Linked DNA regions of Oryctolagus cuniculus. The protein of the gene in region 1 purifies or fractionates together with the protein of each later gene. This does not show direct contact. Links are inferred from orthologs where the notes say so. Each region holds a gene or a part of one and is shown on either strand. Other genes may lie near its edges.

Region 1 (7,442 bases):
CAGACCACTGGCTGGAAGCTGCCCGGACCAGGCTCCTCTGGAGCTAGGGTGCTGTATCAGTGGGCTGTCAGGAGGGTATTGAGGCACTTGTCTCATTAGGTGATCCCTAAACAGGAACTCTTCGGGGAGGGACTGCGTCAGCAGAGACAGGACCAGCTCTGGGGTTTGACTTCTGAGATTCTTTGCTTCTACCAGTGATAGCAAGAAAATGGTCGATGTCACCATTGTTGATGTTACACTTTTACGAGGAAGTAATATCTGATAACTGGCGAGATAGTTGAGACATACAGGTTAGCACAAAAGAAGACAACACCCCCTGTAATCCCACTGCCCCCATCACTGTTGAGGGTTTAGTTGCTAACCTTACAAAACCCTAGGGTGGACATGTTTGTCTTTAAAGTGAGGCCCCGGGATTCTGAGTGGCTATCTCGGGATGCTGTGGGATTTTGGTCCTCCTATCCTTCCCGCGTGGTTCCTCCTGGCCAGTGCCCTGTCAGAGGACGCGAGGGTTTGGTGGGGACTGTTGTATCCGCTGCTGCAGTGAGCAGCACGCAACCACAGACACTTTGGGCGATTTTCGTGAGATGTTGCAGCCACAAGGACGGCCCTGGCCGCCGCCTGCCAGCCTCTTGCTCAGGAGCAGCAGCCTGGCCTGCGGAGAGGCGAGCGGAGGAAAAGAAACTCACTGCCATAGCAGCTCTTCGGGCCCCCTCAGCCCAGCTGTGACACAGGGACAGCGCCCGCCTGGCAGGCTCGAGGAGGGGCTATGCCAGCTTCCTCCTGTAGAAGCCCTGAGCGTGGCACAGGGCCCCAGGAAGGGCTGAGTGCTGGACTGGGGTATTGCCAGTGCTGGGGAGGCCGTGGGGCTCCTGGGCACTTACTTGCCCCATCCCTCTCTTTTTCAGCCTACAGAACCAGCGTGGTGCCCACTGGCCACCCAAGGACAGGCCTTGGGGCCAGCGGCAGCGAGGAGAGCAGTCGGGTGTCAGAAGGCAAGAAGCAGGAGACACCAGCCCCGCAGGTACCTGCACAGGCCTGTGGGGCAAGGGGCTACAATTGGCTGTCACTTGCACACTTGTGCACCCCGGCGGTGGCAGTAGCCAAGGCCTTCCTGGTCTTGTGGCCACAGCCCGCAGGTTTCAGAGCCACCTTAAGCTGTCAGGAAGAGCAGTCTGGGGACACAGCTCTGCTGGCCAGTTGCATTTTTGTTTTCTTTGCATGAACATGATAAATGCTCTACTTAAGCATGTGTTATGGTGACTTTATCAGTCTCCCTGACAGTCACCATTTCAGTGCGTGTTTGGTCCTTGCCTGAATCTCAAGACTGCGCAGGGCAGGATTGGTGGCCCACTATCTCAATGTTGAAACTAGCGTGCACTCCCCAGGGGCCTCCAGTTTGACCGGGCCTGGGCTCGGCAGACCTAGCTCTTGGCCCTCAGCATCTTTGGCCATACTAGTCTGCTGCCCATCGCCTGGAGAGATGCCCACTGCAGACTCCATGCCTCTTTCTGAGGCACTGGTACCTGGGCATGCCCCCCTCTCACTGGCTCTTCACGAGCCACAGTCCAGGGAGAGTTTCTGGGAGCATGGGTGCTGGGTGGGTAGCCAGGCTGGGGTCACAGCCCCCAAAACCCTGTATCCCTCCATGCCAGGCCTTGGGGCTGAGGCCAGAGCAGGACGGGGAGGACAGCAGCCATTAAACAAAAAGTTCTCACCAAATTGGAGGTGCTGCAGAGGGCACCAAGCGCAAGCTCAGGATGATGGGGTGACCTGCTATAGGAAGTTGGGCAGGGAATGCTCGCCCGGGAGGTGGCCTTGAAGCAGGGGACGTGGCCGCGTACAGGGTGTGCTGGGGTGCCATGCAGGCAGGAAGGCCATGGTGCCATGACCCCAGGCCTGGGAAAGCATCTAAGAGAAGGTAGGGAGAAAGTAGCAAAGGCAGAGGGGCTGTGCGACAGCTGAGGGGCCCTGCGTGGGAACCTTGAGGCCCTCTGCAAGGACTCTCCCAGCTTTGAGTTCTCTCCAAGTGCTGGTGGGTGGAAGAAGTAGGAGTGGTACCAGGGAGACCACGAGGCATGAGATGGGTCTCCGAGGAGGGCAGAGACTGAGTGTGGAGCTTCCTGTAGGGCCCGGGCCCCTTCCCTGCTTTGGCCTAGGAAGCTCGCTCTGTGCTTTGAGAACACGGACCAGCTCATAACCTGAGGCCTGGCACTCCTTTCTCTGCCTAGAGAGTGATATTGCTCTTATGACTGTCCCTCAGCCCCCCAACTCAAGTCCCATGGTCCCCTCCCACCGCAGCCAGACCTAGTCTGATCCAGGCACGGCCTAGGTGACACCCCAAGAACCCATGAATTTCAGGGCTGCTATTTGCTATCCACAGGTGGCAAAGAGGAACCCAGCATCCCTCCCGCTGACCCAGGCTGCCCTGAAGGTCCTCGCGCAGAAAGCAAGTGAGGCCCAGCCTCCTCGTGCCAGGACCCAGTCTTCAAGCGGGGTGAGTCTGGGGAGCCCGGGGACCACACCGCCTCGCTTTGCTCCAGAGGCAAGGCTGTGTTCACCTTTCAGCCCCGCCACAGGGTGCAGATAGGAGGCTGCGGGTGTGGCCGAGTCCCGGCCGCAGGCCTTGCTGCCCTGGCACATCAGTGCTGTCTCGATGTCCCTGGGGCACGGTGGGCTGATATGGGAGAAGGACTTGCAGGACCCCTCTTCAGAGTGGTGGGAAGCATCTCAGGAGGCCCAACACTGAAGTGTTCAGGCAGGACCAGGTCTTACCCTGATACTTCCTTCCATTCTTAAACCAAATTAGGTTGACGGGACTGTGGGAACACTCCCCGTGACGAGTCCTCAGAGCGCCGCTGTCCAGGCCAAAGTGACCAGTAACCTCAGAAAAAGCAAAGGCCAGCAGACCACAGCCCCTCCCTTGGGACACCCCAAGGCCAAAGCCCCTGGGAGTTCAGATGACAGCGAGGACAGCAGCAACAGCTCCTCAGGGAGCGAGGAGGGTGCCGAGGGACCCCAGCTGACCAAGTCGACCCCCAGGCCAGGTAAGGTGCGGGGGGGGGGGGGGAGGGACGGGCAGCCCAGGGGAGAGAGAAGCGCACCTAATGGAGCAGCAGGCCGTGGCCTGAGCTCTGGATCTCGAATTTTTCCATGGCCTGGGCCAAGTGGTTGCACGCTGGGCTACAGCTTCCCCGCCTGCACAACTCCGTGAGGGACTCAGTACAAATGATTTCAAAGACCTGACCCCTGGCAGCGTTTTGATATGCTCCCTTTAATGACCAACTCCCTAAAATTCCGGGTTCGTGTTTCCCCGACGAGGGAAGGTGGGGAAATATGAGTGGTGTCTTGGGAATTAGAAACCAAGGCTTGGGCGTTGAGGTGTCACCTGGAATGCTGTGGATGGGGACCCATAGGAAGCCTTGGGCAGGTGGGTGAGGACACACCCAAGATCAGGGCCTCCCCAGGCCCTTCTGAAGAGCTCTGCTCTGCCCTGCCCAGCTGGCAGGAGCCACCAGGGACTCCCGACAGGATACCTGTGCTTCTCCAGCAGGTTCAGTCCCCGCTGGGAAGGAGACCTTGGTGGAGGAGACCTCCGAGTCCAGTGAGGATGAGGTGGTGGCGCCTTCCCAGGTAACTGCGGGGCGGGGGACAGTGTTGGTGACTTCATGCGTCTTGGGCCGGGAACCCCGGGCCAGAATCTGATCTGCCTTGCGTAGTCCTAGGCTGAGGCCGACCCCGGGCAAGGTCCCGGTTGCAAGCCACCAGGTGTGGCCCAGGCAGCACAACACAGCCAGGCTGCTCCTGCCCCAAGGTTGCACTCAGCTCAGAGCTGCAGGTTGTCAGCCTCTGGGGCTGTAAGAAAGACTGCGCTGCGTTCTGAGTGGCGCCAGGCAGAATGCAGGGGGCTGCCCCTGTCCGCGGCACGTGCTGCTGATGGTTTGCTTTTTCTTAGTTTTTGGTTTTGGTTTTCTTTGTTTTGTTTATCTGAAAAGCAGAAAGAGACGGAGGTGTCTTCGTCAGCTGGTTCACTCCCCAAGTGACCGCTATAGCCCAGACTGGGCCACGTGAAGGCCAGTAGCCAAAAACTCAATATGGGTCCCCCACGTGGGTGACGGGGACACAAGTACTTGAGCCATCCCCTGCTGCCTCCCAGGGTGCACATTAGCAGGAAGCTGGAATGGAGAGCAGAGTTGGGACCCTAACCTGGGCACTCCCATATGGGATGTGGGCGTCCCACGCAGCAGTTTAACTGCTGTACCAAATACCAAACCTCCGTTTGCATTTATAATAGGAGATTTCCTTTTTAAACGTGTCTGCATTGATTAAAATAATTTAGAAAGTGTACACGGAAGTCCCCCTTGGGGACTGTAGTGTCCACTCTGCATTGACAGGCCTGGCCTGGACCTGGATGTGCCAGGACTGGCTTCCTCCCAGCAGGCCGTGTGGCGGGGGCAAGGTGGGGTGGGCTGGCGGCCTCTTTCACACTGGGCTTCTGCAGTCTCTCCTCTCAGGTTATGTGGCTCCTGGGCTGACCCCAGCCAATTCCCAGGTTTCAAAGTCTACTCCCAGGCCAGACTCCAACCCTTTAGTTTCCTCTACTCCGGCTACCAAAGATGACCTGGATGGCAAGCAGGAGGCAGAGCCACAGCAAGCCGTGGGCACTGTGTCCCCTAAAGCAGGTGAGTTAACAGACACAGCAGGATGTGGGAAGACAGGGCCGTGGGTCCCTTCTTGCCCTGCCCCAGCAGCACTCCCACCAGTACCTGTCCAAGTGAGGCCTTGTGGTTCTGCCGTGGGCCTGGAGGAGCTCATCCAGGCACAGGGATTGTCTGTGGTCTGGGGTGGCCTGACGTTGAGTTGTATCCTGCCCCGAGGGGGTGATATGCCTGTGGGATGCCCCTGCCTAGAGGAAGCAGCATCTTCGGCCTGTGGAGTGGGCCTTGCCTTTCTCTAGCCGTGCTTGCTGACTCGTCTTCCCAGCGAATGGGCTCCTGGGCCCGTGTGGGGCTCAGACCAAAGGGTGGGCCATGTGTGGAAGAGTCTTGGCACATGGAGGACACTCTGGCTAAGGGGTGGCCCCCAGGCTGTTCCGCCTTGCCCTAAAGCCTCCCAGCAGGCCATCAGCCCCTGGGCCTGTGTCTTAACAAGGCAGGGGTCAGTGTCTCTGGTCTGAATCAAGCTGTGCCCCCCCCCCCACCTTGGAAAATAGCCGCATGATATTTGAAGAGTAGACCAGAGGACTGAGGTCACCCGACCTGGACATTTGTCATCCCTGACACTGCCAGAGCTACAGGGCAAGTGTCCCGGATGGACACACCTACGACAGCACTAGGGGTTCCTCAGCCTCCACGTTCAGAGCCGTTTGTGGATAAGGAGCAGAGCAGTGAGCTCTGGGGCAGGGGCTGTCAGGGCAGATGGCAGAGCAGTGAGCTCTGGGGCAGAGGCTGTCAGGGCAGATGGCACACTCAGCTTTCCTTTCCAGATGGCTCTTGCCCTTGCCAAGAGTCCCCAAAAGACTGGATCGGGCTTCCTCCGGCCGGCGACCCCCACACGGGGCTGGGGCATAGTCAGGCTCCCTGCACACCACAGGGAGCAGCACCAGCCTCGTGCGACACAGAGTGCCCTGCTGGGCCTCTCCCAGTGGACCTGTCCAGGGCTGGTGTGGTGGAGCCCTGTGCCGCGTGGTCCTGGGGTCAGAGGCAGCACTGGGGTCCAGTCCCCCGGCTTCTCGGTGCAGCTCGCCCCGGGCTGGGTCAGGAGCAGAGCCACTGCTCACTTTCTTCTCCAGTGTTCTCCTTGTTGGAGGCGGGTGCGACAAGGAGATGTTTTAGAGGGGGCTGTGGAAGGTTTTTTTAACACGTGTAGTCAGCACACAATTATCAAAGGCAGGCAGAGGCGTGGAAAATTCTAAACAGAGGCTGTACCAGAAGTCGCTCTGGCAGGCAGTGAATCTGCTTAGTCAGCCACCACGTGTGCGCCAGGACACCTGGCACCGAGGCGATGGGCCCACCGTGTCAAGTGGGCAGAGCCATGCGCCTGCACGGCGTTCACTTCCATTGGGAGTCCACTGCGGATGACAGGAACCTTAAGACCAGGAGGAGCAGAGGCTGGCCAGAGTCACAGCAAAAAGGGGTGGCCTAGCGTGGCCCAGAACCCAGGCTCCAGCCTCCAGCTACACACGCGGTTTGCCCTGGCCTGCCTTCCACGTCCCAGTTACGCTCCAGCTCTAGGTCGGGCTTGTCTGAGTGGAGGTTGGAGTGAGAGAGAAGCTGTAAGTTAGAAGTGAGGTCAGTGTAGGAAGCTGGCAGAGGCGTGGGCTTAGGAGCCAGATTGGGGCGCAGTGACCCGTAGGCTGCACTTTCCTCATCGGTGCCATTGTCGGGAGGCAGGGTCTCCCCGGAACCTCCTCAGCTCTCATACCCCCAGCTCCCATAGGTCTGACCCCAAGTTCTTTCTCCACAGGTAGAAAACAGGCCACCTCTGGAACCACACCTCAAAAGCCCCGGAAGCCCAAGAAGGGCGCCCCGGGCACCCAAGCCTCAATCCTGCCAAGCAGCATCACCCAGCGCCTCCTGGGCGAGCCCTGGCCCCTGAGTGAGGCCCAGGTGCAGGCCTCGGTGGTGAAGGTGCTGACGGAGCTGCTGGAGCAGGAGAAGAAGAAAGCCCTGGACGCCTCCAAGGAGAGCAGCAAGAAGGGCCGCAAACGCAAGCTGGTGGTGGACCAGCTGGCCCCCAAGGCCCCCAAGAGCAAGAAGAAGAAGCCGGCGGCGGCTGGGGAGTGTAGGGAGGGCGCTGATTCTCAAGAAAAGGCCTCCCGGACTTCCAAGGGGAAAGCAAAGAAAGACAAAGCGAGTGGTGATGGCCAGGAGAAGAAAGGGAAGGGGCCTTTTGGCTCCCCAGGGGCCAGGGACAAGTCAGAAGGGGAGCTCGGAACAGCGAAGGTTGAGGGAGGCGATCAAAGCAACTCGAAGAGCAAGAAGGAGAAGAAGAAATCTGACAAGAGTAAGTGACTTGATATCCTCAGGCCACGCTAGGGGCTGCCAGGGACCCACAGGGCCAGGAGGCTCAGCGCTGGTCTCTCTCCCACAGGGCGGGTGAGGACAGGCTGGGAAGTGGTTTGTCCGGGATTGTGGAGACAGCTAATAGCAGGCAAGATGGGATTCCAGAGCACCTGGTCAGTGCTGCCAGGGAAGCCCCGGGGCGGCCTGCTTCCCTGCCACCTCCCTGAATGCAGAGGGGACCCGAAAGCAGAACCCCTGAACCTCAGGCCCAGCTCTGCCCTCCCGGCCTGTTTCCCGGTAGTAGCAGCGGTCTTGATCGAGCTCTGTGCTAGGCTGCGTGCCCCGGGACTTCCTTTCACCCTCAGGCAGTTGGGGTAGGCCGTGCTGTTTTTTAAAAAAGTGTGTAGAAGTTTTAAATTACAGTGAGTTAATGTAAAATAG
Region 2 (7,442 bases), on another chromosome or scaffold:
GGAGTTGTGGGACCCACGGGAGATCCTGGGGAGCTGGGGAGAGGGTGCACCAGGCTGAGGCTGACCTGGAGGGAGAGGTGCGGCAGGCAGGGGAGGAGGGAGTGGGCCCCCTGAAACCCTCACGGCAAGGACCCTCCCAGTCCTGCTCACCTTCCCGATGTGGGGGCTCCTCTTTGGGCTTGGGGTGCATCAGGGTGAAGGGCAGCTCCACGGCCACGTCACTGAAACAGAGAGCCAGGCCTGCTGAGCCCAGGCCTCAGCGGGAGGGCTGCGGAGGGCTCTCTGGCCCTCACTCTGCACTCTCCAAGATGGAGATCTTTCTAGGGGAGGAATGTAGGAGACCTCCTCCCCTGTCCCTGATGGAAACAGAACTTCCCCTTCCTGGATCAGGGCCCCCGGACACGGGGGCACGACTGCCCAGGCCAGTGCACACCATGGCCACTGGGGGCCCTGCAGGTGCCCTGAGCCCCGCCCATCTCAGACGGCCACAGCCACCTCGGCCCTTCCCAACTCCTGGCTGGGAGTGTGCCCACCCCTCCCAGCACCTAAAACAGTGCCCAGCTGACCCTGGATACCTGCCACCTGCAGGAGGCACGGCTAGAGGTACATTTTACCAGTGTCGGGTCAGCTGGGACCCAGGGCCCAAGGCTGTCCACACAGGTTTGTGGTGAATGGGAGGCATCAGCCACCGGCCAGGGCTTTGGACTTGACCTTCTCTGCCGGGTCCCTGCGGGGCAGGACAGGGAGGGCAGAGATTTCCACGGCACTGACTCGGCCAAGGACTCTCCTGGGCACTTTCCATAAAGCAACTCGTTGAATCCTCACAACAACTGTATCATTGCCCCCAATGTATGGGTGGAGAAACTGAGGCACAAGGAGATGAAAGCATCCTGCCCAAGGCTACACAGCTATTCATGGGGAGTGACAGAGGATTCTGGCTCCAGGGCCACACCCTTCAGCACTGTGTGACAGCAGCGGCCTGAAGCCATCTTGGAGCAACACCCTTCACCCTGGGATCTCCATCCCGACCCTGACCCATGGGCACCTCCAGGGTCCGGCTGGGGAGTGGAGCAGTCAGGGGCGTAGGCTGAGCTGAGAGTGGATCCCGCCAGCCCCGCCACTCACTGGCACAGCACTGGGGTCCGGAAACCTCTGCTGAACTCAACCGAACAGAGCTGAATGACTTTCCTCTCACACTGGACTAAGTATTCTTGGGATGCTTGGCCAGGGATGCTTGGCCAGGGAGAAGCCAGGGCGTGCATCTTAGGAGGGTGGGTCTATCCGGCTGGCACCCAGGCCATCTCATGCACAAATGTGGCTCCCCGAAGGGCCTCTCCTTGGCTCACCAGCGGGCAAGTCGGGAAGTCACAAAGCCTGCACTTCTAAATACCCTGTAATCCAGTAGCTCGGGAATTCAGTGATTTGCTGCTGGCGAGAGCTGAGGACTAGCAGGGCGCAGCTTCCTGAGTAGATACTGTGTCTTTCTCGAGAGCATTCTGGCATCAGCACGCACCTGACCTTGGCCATCTGAAACGGCCACTAAGGGTCCTTCCAACCCAGCGCCCCATGCCCCTGCTCCATGGGGTATCTGGGCCCTGCAGGAAGGTAATCAACCAGGCCAAAGCGAGGGACATTACCTGGACGCAAGATCTCCCAGCAGGCTGGGTGGGTCAGAGGAGGCAGGAGGAGTGGTCAGGAGAGTTGAGAGAGGAAAAAACAGAAAGCACATTCATTCACCACCTCTGCTGCCCCTCAGACAGAGCAGACCCTGGGACATACACGCCCCCCTCCCCTGGGGGCGCACTGCCAAGCTCAGCAGGCCCTTTCCTTCGGAAAGCAGGTGCACACGTGAGCTCCGGGGCCGCCACGGTGGCACAGGGCGCCAAGCCGCTGCCTGCGATGCGACATCCCACACCGGAGGCACAGGTCTGAGTCCCGCCCAGCTCCGTGCTAACACGCCTGGGAGGCAGCAGGTGATGGCCCAAGTAATGTGGGAGACCGGATAGAGTTCCAGGCTCCTGGCTTCAGCCTGGCCCAGAGCTGGCTGTTGATGCCATTTGGAGAGTGAACAGGGGGTGGAAGATCTCCTCCCTCCCCCTGCAAAAAAAAAAAAAACCCACTCCAGTGCTGCCTGCCCTGCCTGTGGTTCACCAGGAGCACTGCACAGGAGACGCCATGTCTAATGGATTTAGCTTTTCTTTTCTCTTTTAAGCTTTTATTCATTTATCCGGGAGGCAGAGACACAGAGAAAACTCCCATCCGCTGGTTCGCTCCCCACTGAACTGCAACAGCGAGGGCAGCCGAAGCCAGGAGCCAGGAACCCAATCCAGGCTGCCTGTGTGAGTGGCAGGAAGCCAGCTCTCTGAGCCACACCGCCGCCTCCCAGGGTCCCCATCAGCAGGAAACCAGCGCCAGGCCTCAAACGCAGGTGCTGTGGCACGGGCATCCTCAACCCGCTGCACACCTGCCCCTACACGGCTGTTCAACCTCGCTACAGACACTCCTAAACTAAGTCAGAACAAGTTCTCTGACCCGTGAGAAATCCCGGTTCCGGTGTATAACACGTCCGTCCAGGACGTGGGGAGAGGGGAGGGCTGCTCTGAGTCCCCACTGACGAACTCTGCTCGGGGCAAGGAAGCACCTGGTCCCCGGCTGTGACCCCGACACCCAGGCCGCACCCTGACCTTCATGGGGGTGGCAAACTGTGGGCCTCAGCTTCCTGCCCTGTAAAACGGGAAAGCCAGGCCAGCCAGCAAACCCCCAATCTGCCTGAGTCCCTTGGGCTATGTCCCCAGCGGGAGTGGGGTGGGTGCTGCACTGCAAGGTGGGTGAGGGGCTCAGTCCCCCCGGGACCCCCAGCATGGATGTCCTCCCCTGGGGCCCTGGCCGACCCTCAGTGCACGCTCCAGACACAAAGAGGAGGGTGAGGATGGGGAGGAGGAAGAGAAGGGACAGGAAGCCTCGTGCCCAATCCTGCTGCGAACGAGAAGATGGACCGGAAGGCAGGGGAGGGGGGCGGGGGCTGTGGGCGCGGACGGCCCCTGGGTGCCCTCAGGCTCAGCTCCCGCACTCACCCGCCCCGTGACACCACCAGCTTGACTTTCACTTTGTAGGAGACGATGATGCCCAGGATCTCGCGGTTGGCCCCTTCCCGCATCCTGTGGGCGACAGGGGAAGCTGGCTGGGAGGCCGATGTGGGTGTGCGGCAGTAGGGGCAGCGGCCACCGTGTCCCACGGGCCTCCCTCCCCTGGCCGCAGCCCTGCTCCTCCCACCCTCCAGGGAGCCAGCGGCCACGGGGGCCAGGGGCCAGGGCTCAGGGAAGGCCTTCTGGGAGACCTGGAGGATGGCGGGAGTGGGGGGTGGGGGGCAGGGGCAGGGAGCAGGCAGGTCAGCGGGCAGTCCAGGCGGGGGTGGTGAGGACACAGTGTAGCCAGAGCCAAGGGACCACATTCAGAGTGGACCAAAGTCCCCAAGGGAGGGTGGCATGACTGCTTCTCCCGCAGGGCCTTACCAGAGCAGAGAGGCCTGGAGAATCAGAGGGACAGGGGCAGCCACGTGGTCCTGGGGCAGCCCACACCTCGTGTGGCCCAGCTCGCCACCCCACCCCTCCTGTCCACCCTCTGCCGCCAGGGCCCTTCCAGGCGCCACTGCCTTCCTCCCAGCCTTGCGGGTCAGCAGCTGCCACCTCTTACAGGAAGCCTTTCTAGGTTGCCTCCCCCCGAGTGACTGACAGAGCAAGGCAAGTGGATCTAGCAGTCTGGGGGACAGCCTCCCTGACAGGTCGAGCTCCTAAGGGCAGCCCAAGCTCTGTCCTCACACTGGCGCACGGCAGGCGTGGGGGTGGGGGGCAGGGCCTCACAGGGTGCTGGAGGCCAGGTTCGTGTCCTCGTGCTTGAGCTTCCCATCCAGGGCGAGGCCCCGCTTCTCTCGGTTGTTGGCCAAGAAGGGGGTGAGCGTGTAGACCTTGCAGAACGTTGAGCTGGGCGCCACAGTGTCGCTGGGAGGAAGAGAGGCAGGTGTGGACTCGTTCCCCCTCCCCCTGCCAGGACACCCAGCCTGGCCCCACCCCGGGCAGGCAGACCACTGCCCCACGACATACACGGTCCAGCCGGGTACACTGCACTAAAAGCCACCGCACACACCCCGCACCCGCCACCTCGGTCTATGGTCTACACCGAGGACCTGCTGGGGGCGGGCACGCGGCCTGCTGGTTAAGACACCACTCGGGACGCCGGTTTCCCTCACTGCAGGGCCTGGATTCGCAACGGGGCTCCAGCTCCTGAGCCCAGCTTCCTGCAGTGTGCACCGTGCGCCCTGGGAGGCAGCGGGGATGGCTCAGTGATGGGCGCCTGCACCGAGTTCCTGGCTGTTCCCCTCCCCTGCCTCCATCCTTGCCACCTGTGGTGGGCGTCTGGGGAGGGACCCAGCAGCCAGGAGCTCTGTCTGCCTCTTAACAGAGTACAGAAAACCCGGAGTCTGCTGCTCTGTCTGTCCTGGGTCTGTCCATCACACACAGGGCACTTAAGTGTCCCATGTTCACCTGCTTCTGCGCCAGCCGCCCTCCCCCACTGCTGCCCAGGGCCAGGCCCAGGCCCAGCTTGCGCACCGCGGCTCCGCGAGGCCAAGTGAGTGAGTCATGTGTCTGGGAGCCCAGTTCCGATGCACACATGGCCTGGGCCACCGCCACCTCTGCCTCCCGCTGTGTGTTGTGCGGGTGCTGGCACGCCCTGCACAGCCTGGGAGAGCAGGCGAGGGGCCTTCAGGAAGTCCGTGCAAAAGTGCACTCGAAGCAAACTGCGTGTGTATTTCAAACTTTCTGCACCAAAATAAACCTCTCTTTCAATTTTTTTTTTTTTTTTGACAGGCGGAGTTAGACAGTGAGAGACAAAGAGACAGAGAGAAAGGTCTTCCTTTTTCCATTGGTTCAGCCCCCAAATGGCCGCCACGGCCGGCGCGCCTCCACGATCCGATGGCAGGAGCCAGGTGCTTCTCCTGGTCTCCCATGGGGTGCAGGGCCCAAGGACTTGGGTCATCCTCCACTGCACTCCCGGGCCACAGCAGAGAGCTGGCCTGGAAGAGGAGCAGCCGGGACAGAATCCAGCGCCCCAACCAGGACTAGAACCCGGGGTGCCGGCACCGCAAGGCGGAGGATTAGCCAAGTGAGCCACAGCCAGCCTTTTAATTATGTTTTGAAAATTATTATTTGAGAAGCAGACAGAGACAGACAGAGACAGCTTCCCTCTGCCGGTCCCTCCCCTCGGGGGCCCTCGGGGGCTGAGACTAAGCCAGGAGCTGGGAACTCATCCAGGTCTCCACACCCTTGAGCCCCCGCTGCCTCCCAGGTGTGGCATCAGCAGGAAGCTGGAGCCAGGACTTGAACCCGTCCACTCATCTGTTGACTCCATTTTCCAGGAAGTGTTTGAAGTCACCCTGTGTGTTGCTCGGGCTCTGGGTCCCATCACTTTACCTCTATGCACCTGCGGCTCTGTTATTGTTGTCTTAATGAATGGTGACTGTAAGAAACAGCCAATGATAGAGCAGTGTTGGCTCTGATCAGGGCATGCTCACCCACGGGACAGGAGAAACTAGCCAAGGACTACGTGGTAATACTTTCAAAATGTTTTGAGTTGAAGAAATCCGGACTGCAATTATATGTAAACATATACAAGTGTGTGAGGTTACATAAGGCACACTGCCAAAAAAAATATTTGCAGGAACTTCTAACGGGAGCGCCTACTGCGTTTAGGTAATTAAAGATGTTTCACCTGCAGTCTCTGCTCCTGCCTTGGCACCAAGCTGGGGACGAAGTTCTGCTGCGGCCATAGCAGCCCCCCTCAAACCCAGAACTTCTCGGGGTACCCTCCCAAATGACTCCTTTCATGGGAAAAGCTGTACACCCTCTGCCTTACCCTCTTTGCCTTGGCTACCAGGAAGCTCAGTGCCAAGTCCTCCCTTCAACCTGGGTTTCTGACCTTGTATGATTCCCCCTCCCCACAGCTCCAGTCCCCTTACATTCACCAGCCTTTCTTTTGTCATTTCTGTTTTTCCGGGTCTTTCCCTCGACTAGAGAACTTTTCATGGCCTTCTGGAAGGCTCTTGCATCTCCCACCCTGCGGGGCAGGAAGGTCAGGGCCCAGGACTCCTTTCCCAACACTTCCCGTGTCCAGCACAAGGCATCCGCTCACTTACTCGGCCTCCTCCATGGCCACAGGGCACTTGTACTGCGCGGTGTTGAAGAGGCAGATGTCTGCGTACTGGCGCACTGCGGTAGGGGACAGCAAGGTGCGTGAGCCCTTGGGGCAGCCGGAGGGGAGACCACCTTCATCCTGCCCCCCAGTGGCGTGGCCTGAGACCCCCCCCCCTTCCCTTCCGGGACAGCTCCGCCCCAAACCCGGGACACCTAGGAGACACAGGCGACTGACAGGTGACCTGGCCAATAGAAGGCCGGAGGCACCAACAAGCACCACGCCCGCGGCTCGAAGCTGGCAGGGAGGAGGCCGCTAGCAAGGGCAGGTAGGTCCCTGGGCCATCCCTCCTCGCCCGCCCCCGACCGGGTACCCGAGATCTTGATCTTCTTCACGGTCTTGTTGGTGTTGTTGGTGACGTGGACGTTGACACTGATGGGCTCCCCGTGGTAATAGATCTGGGAAGGCGGGAGGAGAGGGTTGGCGGGGAGGCCCCCCAGACCCGGCTGTTCAGACCGCCATCCCCGGTCCTGCGGCCGCAGTGCGCTTAAGTGCAGGCGGCATGGACGCCACCACGCCCGTGAAGCTTCAGCTTCCCAGCGGGGCGCTGCCCAGACCCCGCCCAGGTGAGCAGGTGGTGGTCCTGGGCCCCAGTCCCAGTCTGGCCACTCATAACCCTGGGAACAACAGTGACCATGACAGCAGCCTGACCGTGGGCCTCAGGGTCTTTGTGTGATGAGGGCCACGGCTCAGGTCCCTGCTGGCTCAGGCTGCGGGAGGGGGTGTGGGGGTGTGGACGGTGTTCAGACCGGGGAGGGTGAGGAGGGCAGTGCCGCTCGCAGAGGGTGCCTCAGCCCGCCTCCTGTCCCAAGCACCCGCCTGCAGCTGCCCCCAAGAGCCAGAGCAGGTGCCCACAGCTCAAGGAAGGGATCAGGAAGCTGGGAGCTTGGGGCGCCCTCTCCCTCCCGTGCAGCTTGCTGCCCAGGTGTTCACTGGGGGGAGGGGTGACCCGGCCCCTCCCACTGACACTGCTCCCCTCTGCCACTCCTCCAGGCCCTGGGAGGCTTCCTCATGTTCCCAGGGGAGAGCTGAGATGGCCTGACCTGTGACCCTAGAGCTGAGGTCTGAGGTCCAAGCCCCCTGCCCACAGGCCCGCGTTCCCTACCTCCTTATCCAGGGAGGCCTCCAAGTGCAAGGGCTTGTCTGACATGAGGAACTGCCTGGTGGTCTCAGCCGTGGGCTGGGGGCCGGGCCTC

What was found.
Region 2: the proteins of TCOF1 (region 1) and ARRB1 purify together in Homo sapiens (affinity purification with western blotting; 5 studies listed by BioGRID and IntAct, with this or other methods). This does not show direct contact. The link is inferred for Oryctolagus cuniculus from reciprocal best matches to the Homo sapiens genes TCOF1 and ARRB1.

The regions. Positions count from the first base shown.
Region 1 is NC_091437.1:37,673,092-37,680,533, forward strand, and holds part of TCOF1 (treacle protein), read left to right. Parts: intron 1-905; coding exon 906-1,021; intron 1,022-2,380; coding exon 2,381-2,494; intron 2,495-2,806; coding exon 2,807-3,044; intron 3,045-3,547; coding exon 3,548-3,630; intron 3,631-4,498; coding exon 4,499-4,679; intron 4,680-6,462; coding exon 6,463-7,002; intron 7,003-7,442.
Region 2 is NC_091432.1:66,411,971-66,419,412, forward strand, and holds part of ARRB1 (beta-arrestin-1), read right to left. Parts: coding exon 7,352-7,442; intron 6,645-7,351; coding exon 6,560-6,644; intron 6,264-6,559; coding exon 6,191-6,263; intron 3,999-6,190; coding exon 3,861-3,998; intron 3,159-3,860; coding exon 3,075-3,158; intron 1,662-3,074; coding exon 1,638-1,661; intron 222-1,637; coding exon 151-221; intron 1-150. UniProt on the Homo sapiens protein: Functions in regulating agonist-mediated G-protein coupled receptor (GPCR) signaling by mediating both receptor desensitization and resensitization processes.